Alligator mississippiensis: one gene and its partner. The protein of the gene in region 1 purifies or fractionates together with the protein of each later gene. This does not show direct contact. Links are inferred from orthologs where the notes say so. Each region holds a gene or a part of one and is shown on either strand. Other genes may lie near its edges.

Evidence for each region.
Region 2: the proteins of KLHL6 (region 1) and NUDCD3 purify together in Homo sapiens (affinity purification with mass spectrometry; 3 studies listed by BioGRID and IntAct, counting the BioPlex papers as one, with this or other methods). This does not show direct contact. The link is inferred for Alligator mississippiensis from reciprocal best matches to the Homo sapiens genes KLHL6 and NUDCD3.

The regions. Positions count from the first base shown.
Region 1 is NC_081830.1:41,875,984-41,884,013, forward strand, and holds the start of KLHL6 (kelch-like protein 6), read right to left. Parts: upstream 3,090-8,030; 5' UTR 3,027-3,089; coding exon 2,767-3,026; intron 1-2,766. UniProt on the Homo sapiens protein: Involved in B-lymphocyte antigen receptor signaling and germinal center formation.
Region 2 is NC_081830.1:9,893,078-9,900,956, reverse strand, and holds the start of NUDCD3 (nudC domain-containing protein 3), read right to left. Parts: upstream 3,236-7,879; 5' UTR 3,157-3,235; coding exon 2,959-3,156; intron 1-2,958. Other genes in the region: phosphoglycerate mutase 2, read right to left, coding at 6,492-6,661, 7,697-7,877.

The DNA of each region.
Region 1 (8,030 bases):
GAGCCAGCATCTCCTATACTATGTTTGCCTGTGGTTCGGGTCTCCCCACTTGACTGATGGGTGAGGAGATGGTGAAGGCTCTGAGCATTGACAAGAGACACTGGAGCCAGCTGACAGTTCTGAAACAGGCTGTGAGACTGGAACAAGCACTCACTGAGCTGACAGCAATAGCTCCCTGCAGGTAATTACAGGCAACACAGAACCTGGCTGTGACCTCTCTGATCACCTAAACACCCCAGCAAATTTGGGGGAGCAGGAGTCATACTCTGCTCCTCTTCATATACCTAGGCCATTCTGCCTTCCTCCTGCTTGCAGTCTACTCCACAGATGTGCTGAGACCCCAAGACAGCAACTTCCACTGCATTTGGGGATGAAGAGAGAGAGAGAGAGAGAGAGTTTGAGCACACTGTCCTCTTTGGGAGGCATTCTACTTGCAGTGGCAATCAAGACACTGCTCGTTACCCCATTGGTCAGGCTGGTGCCCAACCCTCAACAGTTTTAATTATCAGGCCATTTGCTGCCTAAATGTGGATGTTTGCTGCCTAAATGTGGATGTTTGAGCCTAGCCTTCAGTGCCCCACCTTTAAAAATCCTGCTTAATTTTCAGCTCCTCAAATTAATAGATATTCTTGAAAATGCTGAAATTAGCTGCTCTGAGCCTACTAACTGTGCAAAGCAAATATAAAGTGCTACTATTCTAATCTGGTAGTGCATTGTTGCCTCTTTGCAACCTTAACTATGGACAGGTGAAGTGGAGATTCAAACCCAACATGTCTACAAGAATATAGGATTCATCAGAAGCATTGTGCTAAGTATGATATCAATTAATTGAAGGTTGATATCCCTGCTTGGCTGTATTTAACCTCCATGTAAAATGGGAAGGTGGTATTAATTATTTGTGTTCTGGTAGCAACCAAAATGTACCATGTGAGTTTATTAGAGGGATTAGATGATGTGGCTATTCCTAGTAACAAAGGGACTGAACTTGATGACCTTTGCACAAGTCCTAAAGATCCAGAGTAATTGAGACAAATCAGTCAAATCTTATGAGTTGCCTAACCATTGAATCTCTCTCTCCTTAGGTACATGCAACTCCCAGTGCATCATTGTGAGATTCATAAACAGCCCTTGTTAGTTTCTTTGTATACGTGTAATTATTATTAATGTGACATGTGACAATATGCAACTAGTATCCCCAAAGTCACAGTATAATCCAAAGGGTCTTAAAGGTGCACCATAGACAATACCATGGCAAGGAAGTTTGGTGCCTGGGGCCAAGCCCGCAGTGGTAGCCCACCCTTGCCCCACACAAAGATCCAGGGGACACGCCCTCCCCCCATGCTTGCCTGGGAGTGCATGCAGTGACAGGAGCCGCCCTCCCCCCATCCCCGTGCCCCCCAAAACGATCCACTCATGACTCCGTCCCATGCCCTGCCCCAGCTGGGCAGCACCTGTTGGCACCCCTTCATTTCAGCACCCAGGGCAGTCGCCCTGCTCGCCCCTCCTTACTACGGCACTGACCATAAACATTCACAGCATCCTCCCAGAGTGCTGTATCAACAGCAGGTGACTGGTGGGCAGCTACATGAATTCTCCTGTAAGCCCCTGATAACAGGGAAGACCTTTTTACTGTTAACCAGTTTTTCAAAGTAATGTTATCTTAATTCCTTTATTAATTGTGCATTTTCTTTCCCTTTACTACATGGTACCAGAATCAGAAGCACTGAGATGCTGCTTTTATCACCATTGGGTTCTCTTTTAGAAATGTCCGATTCCTATCTTCAGTATTAGATGTTGTTTGGAGAATCTACTGTTGTTTTTTACCTATGTGCAGTTTGTGATTTATTTTAAACTGTTCTGAGCCTTTCTGGATAGGGCAGAATATAAGTACTATTATTATTGTTGTTGTTTTTGTTGTTGTTAATAATAATTATTAGTAATGCTTTTGCAATCTCTGCCACTAAAATTTGCCAGGCTCCACTAAAACAGTATTTTCCATTCACATCACAAATAATCACAGATTTTGATTCTCAAGTTTCCACTGTAGGTGTTTGGTCATCTGACCACTTCAACCGTGAAAAAAAAAATCCCTACCATGCAAATGTGCATGTCTAAGTGATGGTGGAAATTTTGTTATAACTGACACTGCTTTTCTCCGTATGTCTCAAATTTGTTCCTTCCAGTTAGTGGCATAAAATAGACAATTAATTGTGGTTTTAAAATGACTAAATGTATAGTCTCCATTTTCTTTAAAATTCTTCCAAGCAGATGGTTCCCATCTCTCAAATGATTTTACAGCAATCCTGGGAAAGATAGGAAATGGGACACACATCCTTTTCCTTTCTCAACAGGTTTATGCAATGTGTAAGCTGCCACAGAGCAACAGTGAAAAAAACAGACAGCTTTCCACAAAAGGAGTCAAAAAGACCTGTGATCTCAATGATTTTCCTCTTTGCCGCCATTCACCCTCATTTTATGCATCTGTGCTTCAGACAACGCGCCAAGTATTTGGCTACATTAATTCTCCATCACTTCATCTGCCAACCATTTTTCTTTTATTTGTCTGTCTCAATTAAACTTGTTCAATGGTGATATATTACAATCCAGAGTTTGATGCTTTCAGCTTGCAAAGGAGCTGAAAATATTAGGAACCCAACACGCAATTAAATTCAATGGAAGCTGGGCTCCCAATGTCAGTCTCCTTAGAAATTCCCTGCCTAAATATCCTGAAAGAAAGAGGCTTTCTGTTTTTTAAAATTGTCTTACCTGAAATAGTTACTTGCGGCAGCAAGGACCACACGGTGGCAAGAGAATTCTATGCTGTCCACACACAAGATTACATCTGTGAGAGAGTTTTCCAGCCGGAGGTTCTCCAGACCATTCTGAAGAACCATAGAGAGCCCAGTGTCATCAAACTTGACCTTTTCACCATTCGAGACTTCCACAAGGTCCCCCATCTTCCTGGAACAGTCATTGTCCAAAGAGACCAGAGGCTCTTCAGAACTTTTCTCTACCGTGTCACCCATGTTTTAACCAGCACCGTGTCATTCCGTTGGTGCTTCAGTCTAAAAGCTCCTAAGCTTCAGACGAGTCACACTACAGAAGTTAAGCGGATTTCCTGTCCAGGGCTCTCTGCTTATCTATAGCTGTCACACACATACAACAGGAAGCCTTGCACTTTCTCATCCTGTTAACACAAACAAAGGCTGGGTTTTTTTTCTTCCCTGTGAATTTCAAGTAATATCAGTGTGTTTAGAAAAGGACTCAAGATGCTTCTGGATGTGAGAAGATTACAAGTGACAGGGAAGGCCTCTTTCCCAAACTGAAATTGATCTGTCTTTACTATCCAGATCCACTTGTCCACAATGATAGGTGCACTGTATGGCTTAGCAATCCCTTAACCTAGCAGTGAAAGCAGCTAATAAAAGCTGCTTTTGTAAATTAAATCTCTTTTTCACATATGATTTTTAAAATGTTAATAACTGAGCTGACACCCAGAAGTTTTTTTTTTAGTGTATTCTCACATATTCAGAAATATCTGTTGATTGGTATTGCTGTCCCTTATTAGGTCACAGAAGTGTTTGGCATATGTTGGAAATAATTCCTTTTAAGTTTCTGTAGTGAAGAAGCATTTAACTAAACAGGATATATATATATATATATATATATATCACACCTATATAAAAATATCTTGTTTAGTTTGGTAATTGTGACAAGGGGAAGATCATGTGGCCAATTGCAATGCTGGCCCACTCCTCTGTCTAGGGCAGTCTCTCCTGTCTCACCTGCCATGACTTGCTGTTTAATAATACAAGATCAAATAAGCGGGAGTGTGGCAGGGCACTGTAGTGCCTGCCACTTTAAGGGCTGAGACAAGCAGCCAGCAGGTGCTTGATTGCGGCAGCCATTTTAGATCCCTGGCCATCTATATAGACTGAACAGTTCACTGCTGGCAGCCCAGGCAGTAACATCACTTGGCTGCAAGGCTGCTTGGAACATCCTGGAGATAAGGGAGGAGCTGTAGGGGATGGCTAGGAGGCTCCTGGTCCTGGTCCTGGTCCTGGTCCTGACCTAAAACTGCACCCTGCTGGGAGTGGGTGGCCTGGTGGGGCTCTCAGTGGCATGGGAGCCCCCAGGAAATACCAGGCCAGTTACCACCCTGCTGATAGGTGGGTCAAGGCGCCTTAACCCCTAGCCCCCACATCATTGTGGGTACAAGGGGGCCAGGCACAGCTATAGCCACCTGAGCCCAGGGAGGTTGTAAGACCCAGAAGGGGCCAGGCATGGCTACGGCCACCTGAGCCCCACCAGGGAGGGAAGCCCTGTAGCCCCAGTGAGGGGGTGGTGATGTGGAGCCCCAGTGAGGAGGCAGCACCAGTGAGGGGGTGGAGATGCAGAACTCCAGTGATGGGGTGGGTGTGGAGCCCCAGTGAGGGGGCAGCCAGAGGGCTGGGAGCCCAGTGTGTGTGTGTGTGTGTGTGTGTGTGAGGAGTTGCCAGGTGACATGGGGCAGAATTAGCCCAGGGTTTGGCACAAGGCCAGACCACACAGAGTAGCGGAACTCACAGGAACTGAAGGGACTGCATGGCAAGACCACTATGTGAGTAGCAAAGCCTGGTGCCCCAGAGGGGTCGCTTAAGCAGAAGCAGGGCAGTGGAGTATGGCCCAGTAACAGGAAGTATGCCAGAGGCCCCAGTTAGAGAGGGGCAGAGTGGAAGAGGCCTCCTGTGAGAAGGAAGGTGATATGAGTGTGCGTGTGCATGGAGCCCAACTGTGGACTTGGTTTCCTCTGGTCTCAGGCCAGGAGTAATTATGTCACCATGTGAGGCATGGGCTGTAGTGTAGGGGAGGAACAGAGCCGCAGATATCACCCCCCCTGGCATTGGGGCAAGAATGGGCAGCCTCCTGCCTTAATAAGAACCAATTAAGAAACAACAAGGTGTGGCAGCTGAGGAGGTGGGTGGTTGGCCCAGAACAGGTGGGCGGGCCAATGACGGATTGGCCTCAGTGATCTTCCGAGGTCCCTTCCAGCCCTAATGTCTATGAAATCTATGAAGATTCAGCCTGATTTGGGGACCAATTTTCCAAATCAAATCAAGTAAAAGCTCCTAATCAATTCGAAGCATCCAAATTGATTCAGAAAAAGATTCGAAAATGATTCGGCCATAGACTAAAAAGCTGACACAGCTGCCTCCAGCTGGTAAGTCTGTTGGGGTTAGGTAAGGGGCGTGGGAGGGATTGGGGCTAGGACAAGCTGCCCAGCCAGGATGGGGGGTGTAGGACTCAGGGAGGGGGCAGGGAGGCATGGGACGTGGGTGCAGCAACACTGGGAGTAAGGACTCTGTGCTGCTGCCACTTGCCTAGCCGGGGCAGGAGAGGGGAGGGGCAGGATGCAGGTGTGGCTCACTCCAGGTAGAAGGGGGCAAGCAGCAGCAGAGCATAGCCCCCGCTCCCAGAGCTGCCGTGTCCACATCCCACATTCTCCTGTGCCAGCTGGCAAGCAGCAGCAGCAGCACAGAGTCCCAGCACTGATGTGGGCGCAGCAGTGCTGGGAGCAGGGGCTCTGCCCTGCTACCCTCCTCCCCCAGTAACATTCTCCCCCTTCCTGGTTGGGCAGTATGTCCCAGCCCCAAATCCAACCCCTCCTTCCCCCACACCCCTTCCCTCCCCCACCCCCAACCCCAACAGATTTACCAGCTGAAGGCAGCTGTGTCAGCTGCCTGTTTAGTCTATAGCCAAATCTCCAAAGAGGCACCAAATCTTTCAGATCTGATTCAGCTGAATCCAATTGGGACAGTGATTTGAATCTCCGAATCAAGTCACTGTCCTCCAAATGGGCCAAATCTGAAGCAAATACTTGCCACTTTGCATGGGCCTATTAGATAGATAGATAGATAGATAGATAGATAGATAGATAGATAGATAGATAGATAGATAGATAGATAGATAGATAGATAGATAGATAGATAGATAATTGAGTAGTTAATGAATGGTGTTAAATAACTTAGAACATCAGGGCACCCTGCAAGGCTTATCTTCTTCCCAACCCACCCAGTTATCTTAAAATGGAGGGAACTGTAATTTTAGAGAATGGAAACCCTTCCAGAGAAAATTGTAATGGACTATGTTAAACTATGGCATTTAGGATGTGTTTCTAAGCTGAATCAAGACAGCCTAGCATGTATAGATGAGATTTCTAGGACTTCGTGTTTTGTAAATCTGAATAGAATCATGGTGATTTATACTGGTTGATAATCTGCAGCACATCTAAATTTTTAACAAGGCATTAATATTTTTCCATTTTAATAACTTATTTTATATTTTGCTCTTACAAAGCTCTGAGGTAAGAGATGGAATATATAGTTAGTTCCTTTATAATACAGTCCTTAACTATGTTAGCTTTCCTTCTTTAATGTACAGCCAGACACTTCAGTTGAAGAGAATTAAATAAAACCTGAACAGTTGTGATATATAAATAAAAGGGTGTAGACAAGGAATTGGAGTCTAAGACTTTAATATGTCATTCTCAGCCAAGCTGACAAAAGTTGAGGAAGTCGGTTCACCCTTCTGTGCCTCAATTTCCCCATCTGTAATATGAGTCCAAAACTTGCCTGGAAAGAGCTTTTGCACTATTTTTATTTTACAAAATATTCCATAGAATATATGCGCACACACACTGAACGGTTCCATCCTGCTTCCCATTCAGTCTATAGTCACCTGCTGAGTCTTATTTTATACTGTGGTTGCACTGTAAGGTGGGCAGAAAACTGGCTGAAGCATCAGGCTTAGAGTATAGTAATCAATGGCTCAATGTCTAGTTGGCATCTGGTATCAAGTGGAGTGCCTCAGGGGTCAGTCCTGGGACTGGTTTTGTTCAATATTTTTATCAATGACCTGAAAGATGAGATAGAGTGCACCCTCAGCAAGATTACAGATGACACCAAGCTGAGGGGAGTAGTAGATACACTGGAGAGTAGGGTTAGGATTTGGATAGACCTAGATAAATTGGAGGACTGGACCAAAAGAAATCTCATGAGGTTCAGTAAGGACAAGTACAAAGTTCTGCAGTTAGGACAGAACAATTCCATGCACCAGTACAGTCTGGGGGCTGACTGGCTGGGCAGCAGCTCTGCAGAAAAGGACCTGGGAGTTAGTGTCTATGAGCCAAGCGTGTGCCCCTGGTTGCTAAGGCAGCTAACAGCATACTGGGCTGAATTGGTAGGCATGTTGCCAGCAGATCAAGCAAAATTATTATTCCTCTTTATTCAGCACTGATGAGGCTAAATCTGGAGTACTGAGTTCAGTCCACTACAGAAAGGATGTGAACAAATTGAGGGGAGTGAAAATGGAGGGCAGTGAAAATGGTTAGGGGTTAAGCACATGACTTCTGAGGAGAGACTGAGGGAACTGGGCTTATTTAGTCTAGAGAAGAGAAGTGAAGACTAAAAAGGGATTTAATAGCAGCCTTCAACTACCTGAAGGGTGATTCCGAAGAGGATGGAGCTAGACTGTTTATAGTCGTGGCAGATGACAGAACAAGGAGCAACAGTCTCAAGTTGCAGCAAGGGACATGTAGGTTAGATATTAGGAAAAACTTCCTCACTATGTATATAGTAAAACACTGGAACAGGTTACCCAGAGAGGTTGTAGAACACGGATGGGCAATTATTTCAGGCGGAGGGCCACTTACTGAGTTTTGGCAGACCATCAAGGGCCACATGACAGGCAGCCAGGGGCAGATAAATATTAATATTCTAAATTTTTAGGGGTCCCATGGGCTGGATAGAATGGCCTGGTGGGCCGCATCTGGCCCGCGGGCCGCATTTTGCCCACCCCTGTTGTAGAATCTTCCTCCTTAGAGATTTTAAAACTTGTCTGGACAAAGCTGTGGCTAGGATAATAAGCTTTGGCGACGTCCTGCTTTGAGCAGGGGGTTGGACTAGGTGACCTCCTGAGGTCCCTTCCACTCCTAATTTTCTATGATTCTATGATTCATTAAAGGAAATGCTGAAAGAACCCAACTCCCCAAA
Region 2 (7,879 bases), about 32 Mb from region 1:
AAAACCTTAAGGGGTGGAGACTCCATAATCTCTTTGGGTAACCTGCTCCAGTGCTTTACTGGCCTCCTAGTGTGAAAGTTTTTCCTAATATCTAACCTCAACTTTCTTTGCTGCAACTTGAGACAATTGCTCCTTGTTCTGTCATCTGCCACCACTGAGAACAGTCCAGTTCTGTCCTCTTTGAACCCCACTTCAGGGAGTTGAAAGCTGTTATTAAATCCCCCCTCAGTTTTCTCTTCTCCAGACTAAATAAGCTCAGTTCCCTCAGTCTCTCATCATAAGATATGTGCCCCAGCCTCCTCACCATTTTTGTTGTCCTCCACTGAACTCTCTCCAATTTGTCTCCAACCTTTCAGTAGTGGGGGCCCCAAAACTGGACACAGAACTCACCAGTGCTGAATAGAGGGGAACAATCACTTCCCTCAATCTGCTGGCGATGCTACTACTAATGCCATTTGTCTTCTTTGTAACAACGGGACACTACTTACTTAAATTCAGCTTATTGTCTGCTGTAACCTACAGGTCCTTTTCTGCAGATCTGTTTAGCCAGTTAGTCCCCTGGCTGTAGCGGTGCATGGGATTGTTCTGTCCTGAGTGGAGGACTTTGCATTTGTCCTTATTGAACTTCACAAGATTCCTTTTGGCCCAATCCTCCAATTTGCCTAGGTCTCGCTGAATCCTAGCTCTACTATTCCTTACAGGTGATGAAGATGTAAGTGACTGGGTATTTAAGCACGAAACAACTGGAACAGGAAGACCTTAAATCAGCCAGTGCTTCCCCTAACACCCTGGTCACATCAACCACTGGGCTGCCTTTGGGATGAAACTTTGCTTGGAAAGTTTCAAACATCATGCAGGTGTCACCCAAGGAAATAGACCGAGACATCCACAACAAATCACAGAAAAGCAGGGGCGAAAGGAACCTCCACAGGTCACATCTAGTCCCACTCACTGCCTAAGGCAGAATCATCCCTGTTCAAACTAACCTAGACAAATCCACCATCTATGTTATGCCCACTGCCTAGTAAGATTGAGGCACCCTACTCCTGTCTGCTTTGGGGGTCTCTAGTAACACTGAAGCAGGCAGGGGAGTGGTGTCAGGTTGCAGTCCACCTTGACCCGACCCTGCGTGGTGCCTCCCAAAAACAGAAGTGTGTGGGGCAAGTGGAACATTTATGTTTCTGGGAGGGGTGCAAGGGTGGGTGACTGTGTAGGGAGGAGGGGAGATGAGGAGAGCTGTGGCATGAGTGGACTCCCCTGGCTGCTCTAAGCTTCACAGAGACCTCAAGGAGGCAGGAGAGCATACTAGCTTGGCTGGGCAGAAGGTACCTGGGGACCTTTATCTGCCCTGAAAGAGCTCTCATAGCACCCCAGGTGCTATGTCACCCAGCTGAGAAGCACTGGGTCAGAATCAGGACACAACATGGGAAATTTGGAGGAAGACTCTACTTGTGCCTCCTACCCATCTGTGGCGATATCTAGTTGCTTTTCTCTCTGATGCGTTTTAAGAGTAATTTGCATTTGCCTGGGGGTTTGGATCAGGTGACCCCTGCCAACCCCAGGGCTCCAGCATCTACCTGGTCCTTTGAGTCTCGTGGTAAATCATGATTACTGCAGTCTCCTCTCTGCAAGCACCTCAACTCTCCCCTTCAGCACATCCAAACCACTGCTGTCAATCCCCCTCCAACACCTCTCCCTAGACTTGACTGCCACGACACCTGTCATCTTCCTCCAATCCCTACCAAAACCATCCTGCCAAGGGGAATGCTTTTGTACCAACCTAGCTGCAGCCAGATACCATGGGGTGGGTGAGACAGTTGCCATGCTGGCCAGCACAGAGCATACTCTCAATGTAAAGCAACTGGAGCAATCAATTGCCCTCAATAGATTCCACGTGCAACATTTCCACTTGGATTCCCAGGCACAGATTCAATGCATGTGTTCAGTCATTTCACTCATGTGGGAACCCCACTGTAAGCAATGCAAGTGCTGATCTGGGAGCTGTCTCCCACAGCATTTTTACCAGTTTTCCCTGAGTAGGATGCTCAGGATGCAGCTGGAGAAGTTACCTGGTTGTGTTGGCAGCAAAAACGACTTGAAGAATGTGGCGGGGAAAAGGAATAAATGCAGTCACTGGGTATAAACGACAGGATCAGAAGGAAGCAGGGTTGGAAGGAATTTCATAAGGTCCGTAATTACAGAGTACAACACACAATAACAAACACACGCTCGTTACCTGCCTGATGACAGGTTCTGCTGATGTTGTGTGACCCATATAGTGCATTTGCATACAGGGCAAGGGCAGCTGATGACACCTACACAAGCCCTAGGGCTGACAGTGCTGTGAATACTGTTCCCCAAGACCTGCCCGGCCTGCCCCTGCCAACTCCTGTCTGCTGTGTGGGTCTCAAGCTGGCCACGCTGGATATTTTGGCAATGGGGGCAGCTGGGAGAAGGGAGGTTAAGGGCCCTGGTACCAGCCTTTAGACAAGATATGATTGTTCTGACTCATGAGACAGCTCATGACTCTGCCGTTTGCTGTGCCAGGCTGGAAAGAAATTAGATACGCTCCCTCCTTTTACTGCTACACCTGTCAGGGGGTTTCTAAACCTTCTTAAGGCTCAGAAGCACTGGGCGCTTGGCTGCAGCCTGGGCTGGGGATGGCGCTGTGCCAACGGTCCTGCTGGGACCAAACCTGTGTCGGGGGCGACTGTGTCATGCGTTCAGGGGAGGGAATCTGGATTCACCTGGGCTGGTTTGGTCAGGGCTGATCCTGCCTCAGGCTGGGGGCTGGACTGGATGGGCCCTCCTGACGTCTCTCCAAGACACCCCTCTGTGACCCTATGAGGTCATCAGTAGGTTTCAAGCCACCCTTCTGTGACCCTATGGGGGGGCCGGGGGAAGGAGGCAGGCGCGAGTCATCGCTAGGTGCCAGGGCTGGCAGGGGCCGGGGGTTACCTGTCCGACCATGGCGCGCGCGGCGCCGGGCGGGAAGCCGAGCCGGTCGGTGGGCCGGCGCAGCAGGCGGTAGAAGTCGGTGCGGCGGTAAAGGAAGCCGAAGAGCACGTGCAGGAACTGGCGCACGCCGCCCGCGTGCTGCAGGATGCCGAGCAGCGCCTGGTCGTACGCGTCGGTCAGCGCCGCGCCCGGCTCCATGGCAACGGCGACGGCGGCTCCCGCGGCCCGGCGCTTCCGGTCCGCCCGGGCACGCGCCCAATGGCTGCCCCGCAACACCCGCACTTCCGGCCGTGCGGCGCTCCACTTCCGGTAGGTGGAACCCTTTCTTCACCCTAAGCCGTCCCCCCCCTTATTTCCGGCTCACCCCGGTCCCTTAACAAATGGCTTCCCCCACTTCCGGTCTCCCAGGCCCCCTCACCCAATGGTTGTTTCAAGTTCCTTACCCAGTGGTATCCCTCCACTTCCGGTCTCCCCTGTTCCTCACCTAATGGTTCCTCCAATTCCGGTCACTTCCAGTCCCTTGCCCGAGTTTCCTCCAGCTTCCGCCCCGTTAAGTGCTCCGGCCATCCCTGAGCGGGCGCGGCGGCGGCGGGGGGTGATGGTACGGGTCCAACCATAGTGGGCATAGTGTGAAACATTTGCTGCCTGATCCAGGGTTACCGTATTTACAGTTTCAAAAAAGACGTGTGTGTGTGTGTGTGTGTGTGTGGGGGGGGGTGTTATATGATTGTAGGGGGCAGCGATATCCCCTCATTCCCAAGCCACAGCCCCCAGCCCTGCTGCTGCCCCTCGCTCCCAACTTGCAGACCCCTGGCACAATCTGTGCCCTGCATTTGCAGCTCATAGTCCACCGCCGCCCTGGTGCCACTCGCTCCCAAACCACAGCCCTGCTGGTGCCACTCACTCTTGACCTGCAGCCCCCTGCTCCCCGCAGCCCTGCAAGCATCTCACCAGTGAGCACAGGCACTGGTGCAGCTCTGCCACCTGGCTCTGCGCTGCCCCTCCCCAGCTCTCTTCCACCACTGGAGGAGCAGGTGCCGCGTGGGGGCAGGTTGGGGAGGGATGCTTCCATGCTAAGCTAAGCAGAGAAAGGAGGGCTCAGAGGCTGCAAAAAGCCCAAATTTTGGATGTTTGTTGATGTTTAAAAAAAAACCCTGGATGGAGATGGGAGGACCCAAAAAGAGGACGTGTCCAGGAAAACCTAAACATATGGTAACCCTCATTTGTCCTGACTACAGCAATGGGCATGCAGGTTGGAAATCCCTGGGCAGGGTGTGCCTACATGGGAGCCTCAGGGTATGACCTGGCCACCACAGATGGATGCACAGACACGTGGGTGAAGGGATGCAGCCCGCCCTGCCCTTTGGCCAGATCTTCCCCATGACCTTGGCAGCACCCAGTCCCCTGCAGGAGGCCAGGTCCCCCCCGGCACCATGATGAAGCCGCTTTGTGACACCCTGACGGCTGGTGGGCTCAGCCCCTGCAGTCCCTGGCAACATGGGATGCTGGAACCCGGGAGACAGATGCCACCAGCCTGTGATAGCAGGGAGGGAACTCGGTGTCGCTCCGGTGCAAGGAGCTGGACTGCAAGACCCGTGCCTCCACCAGATGCCTCTTCTTGCCTTGTCTCAGTCCTGCTCTGTGCCTGGCCAGAGGCTGATTGTGCTGTCCCCGTGGTTCTCACTGTGGGGTCTGCAGCATGTAGAGGGATCCCTGAGACCCTCTCCAGGGTGTCATGTTGTCTTAGCACAGCTAGGGTTGCCAACACCAATGCCTGAGTTGCAAGAGAAACTCAGGGATTTCACACAGGAATCCAGAGTGGCCAGCCCCGCTCCTGCCCCGCCGAGGGCTGGCGGAGTTCTTTGCCACACGAGAATGATTGGCTCTATAGAAGTTGTCAACCTTTTTTCTACCAGAACCCATTTGTAAACATTGATAGCCAGTCCTGACTCGGTGCCCCTCACTCCCAACCTGCTGGCTCCCACTCCCAGTGTGTGGGGCAAGGGAGGGGGGCATGGGGGGCCCCAACCAGCCCCTTGCAGGCTGGAACTCTGTCAGCCTGAGAGGGAAAGCCCACAGATTCCCAAGTTTTTCTCCTTGAAAGGAGAATCCATTTTTAAAGTTTGTTCGTGACCCTTTCATATATTCTTGCAATCTACTTTTAGGTCGTGATCCATGGGTTGAGAAATGCTGTTCTATAGGGTTCTTCCCTAGTCAATGCTAAGAGGTTGAAAGCCACTGTCCTATACCACACATACACACAGAACCCAGGATGAGAATTGTCTTACACACCAACACCCTGCCCCCCCCACCCCCCCCAAGTGTCTGGGACACATATAAACAAAGAACCCAGGGTCCAGGACACACACACACATGCACATGCAGAGAGAGCCCCCACCCTGCCCCCCACACACAAAGAACCAGGGTTGAGAATCATTGTCTTACACACACGCATACTTCCAGGTTTTTCTGGACATGTCCTCTTTTTTGGCCCCCTGTCCTCATGTCCGGGTGGGTTTTGAAAATGAGAGCAAATGTCCGGGCTTTTACTCGGGTGAATTTGATATCTTTTATTAGACCAACCCAAATGGTTGGAGAATAGGTCTTTTACTCTTCCTTTGCTCTCTCAGGTTGGCTGCTTAGGGCTGGAAGCAGCAGGCAAGGTGATTGGCTGTCAGGGGACATGTGCTCCCCATTCAGGCTGGCCAAGAAAAGGGACATTGTGTATGTGTGGGGGTGTGTGTGTGTGCATGTGTGCAACGTGGGAGCTGCTTGGGCAGCAGGGCTGGGGGGGCAGAGTGCTGTGGGTTGGGAGTGAGGGGCACCAACAACACTGGGGGGCAGGGGGCTGTGGACTGGGAGTGGGACTGGCAAGGCTGGGGGGGCAGGGGCTTAGGAGTGTGGGGCAGAGACAGGGCACAGGCATACCACTGCCCCCCCGCCCCCATCATATGCCCCTCCCTTCTCTCCCCCCCTCCTTTTTTTTGATACCGGAAATATTGTAACCCTACCCAGGACACTCCCCACAGCCCCCCAGATGTCTGGGACACACACACACACACACACACACACACACACACACACACACACACACACAGCAGGTGAACTACCTGCAGGCATTTTGCCCCCATGGTGGGGGACTGTGGGGGTGACATGACCACCACAGAACCTGTCTCCTGGCATATGGCCCTGGTGGCACGTGCGGGGCAGGTCCATGGAGCAGCTAGAGCTTGGGTAACAACTTTCCATAGCTGCTCCCACCAAGCCTGTCTCAGCAAGTCCCTCCCCCCCACACACAACTCTTAGAGGCACTCAACTTGCCCCAGAACTGCTGCCTAGAGGGACTGACCCCTGGAGATGGTCACCACAACCCAGACCCCTACAGCAGCAGCTTGGCAGCCCCACTGGAGCAGGGGGGCTAGGCACTGTTACATCTTCCTCTGCCAGTCGAGCCATGCCCAACCATCCCTCCTTGCTGACAGAGGCTCGGGTACTGGGGGATGGTTTCAGGGGTTTATTCCATGGCCCCTCCCTCACTTCTTGACCTTTCCCTGAGCGGCGACTGCCTCCATGGCTTTGCGAACGGTTTCTTCATCGCCCAGAAACTGCATGGGCTTGGTGGGCTTGAGGTTGTCGTCCAGCTCATAGACGATGGGGATGCCTGTGGGCAGGTTTAGCTCCATGATGGCAGCATCTGATAGGCCTGTGGGACAGAGAGGGTCATGGGCTGGGGGTGAGGTCTGGACTTGGGGTGGGAAACATGCCAGGCACCTTCTGCTGGAGTGCATGATGGGCCCCCAGCTCTGGGGGGAGTGGGGTGGTAGGGAGGGTGCCTTGGGGGTAGGAGCTGCCTGGTGGGGGCAGAATCTGGGCGCCCTGGGGGCTGTGGGGCAGGATCTAGGTGTGGGGGAGCTCCCAGGCCCCCAACAGGGGGCACTGTGGGGACAGGAACCAGCCGGGGGGGGCAGAATCTGTGTGCCGGGGGGGGGGGCAGAAGCCAGCTGTGGGGGCAGCTCCTGGGGGTCCCCAGAGGTCCTGTCCCTTTCCACCTCCTTGGAATCCTGGTGACCTTTAGGCCTGGGGAAAGGAAACCAGATCCCCTGTTGGGGTGTGTGGCTGCTGGCTAGGGTAGGGGTGGGGGCAGGGGGGCTCTGCAGGGAAACCTGCCCCTTCCCGCTGAGCCTTGAAATGTGAAGCCCGCCTGGAAATAGCAATGACCTTCAGTGAGGGTCATGGAGCTGCTGGCTCCAGCTCCCAGCCCTACCCTGGGGAAACTGAGGCACAGGGCAGGCTATGCCACCCAGGGAAAGGGAAACTGAGGCATGAGGCGGGGCAGGGGCTCTCTTCATTCAGTGCCAGGTGGCAGCCTCCCTGGCCTCATGGCACCTCTAGCCTTCGCTCTGCCAACTCCTGCCGGACCCCTCCAGCTATTCCCAGTGCAGTGGGAGCCCAGCACTGGGCAGACTGGGTCATGGGGACCTTGTGCCTGCTCCCAGTCAGCCTGGGGGTTAGAAGAGATGCCCTGCAGGGGGTCCAGCAGCTGCTGATCCTGGTGCTGGTTGGTGGGGATATGCTAAAGGTCACAGGTCAGGGTGCAGCCCATAGCGGGGAGGGCACAGTGCTGGCGCAGGGCCCAGGCAAAGGTTACCAGTAAGTGATAGCCCCGGGCACGGCCCAGCTGCCTGCATCCCCCATGCCAGGGCCCAAGGCAGGCTGGGCTGGAGCCGCGGCAGCCTACCTTCTAGATGTTTGACAATGCCACGCAAGCTGTTGCCATGGGCAGCAATGAGGACCCGCTTGCCGGTCTTGATCTGGGGGGCAATGTGGTCATTCCAGAAGGGCAGTGCCCGGGCAATGGTGTCCTTGAGGCTCTCGCACAGTGGCAGCTCTCCGGGCTTCAGATCTGCATAGCGCCGTGCCT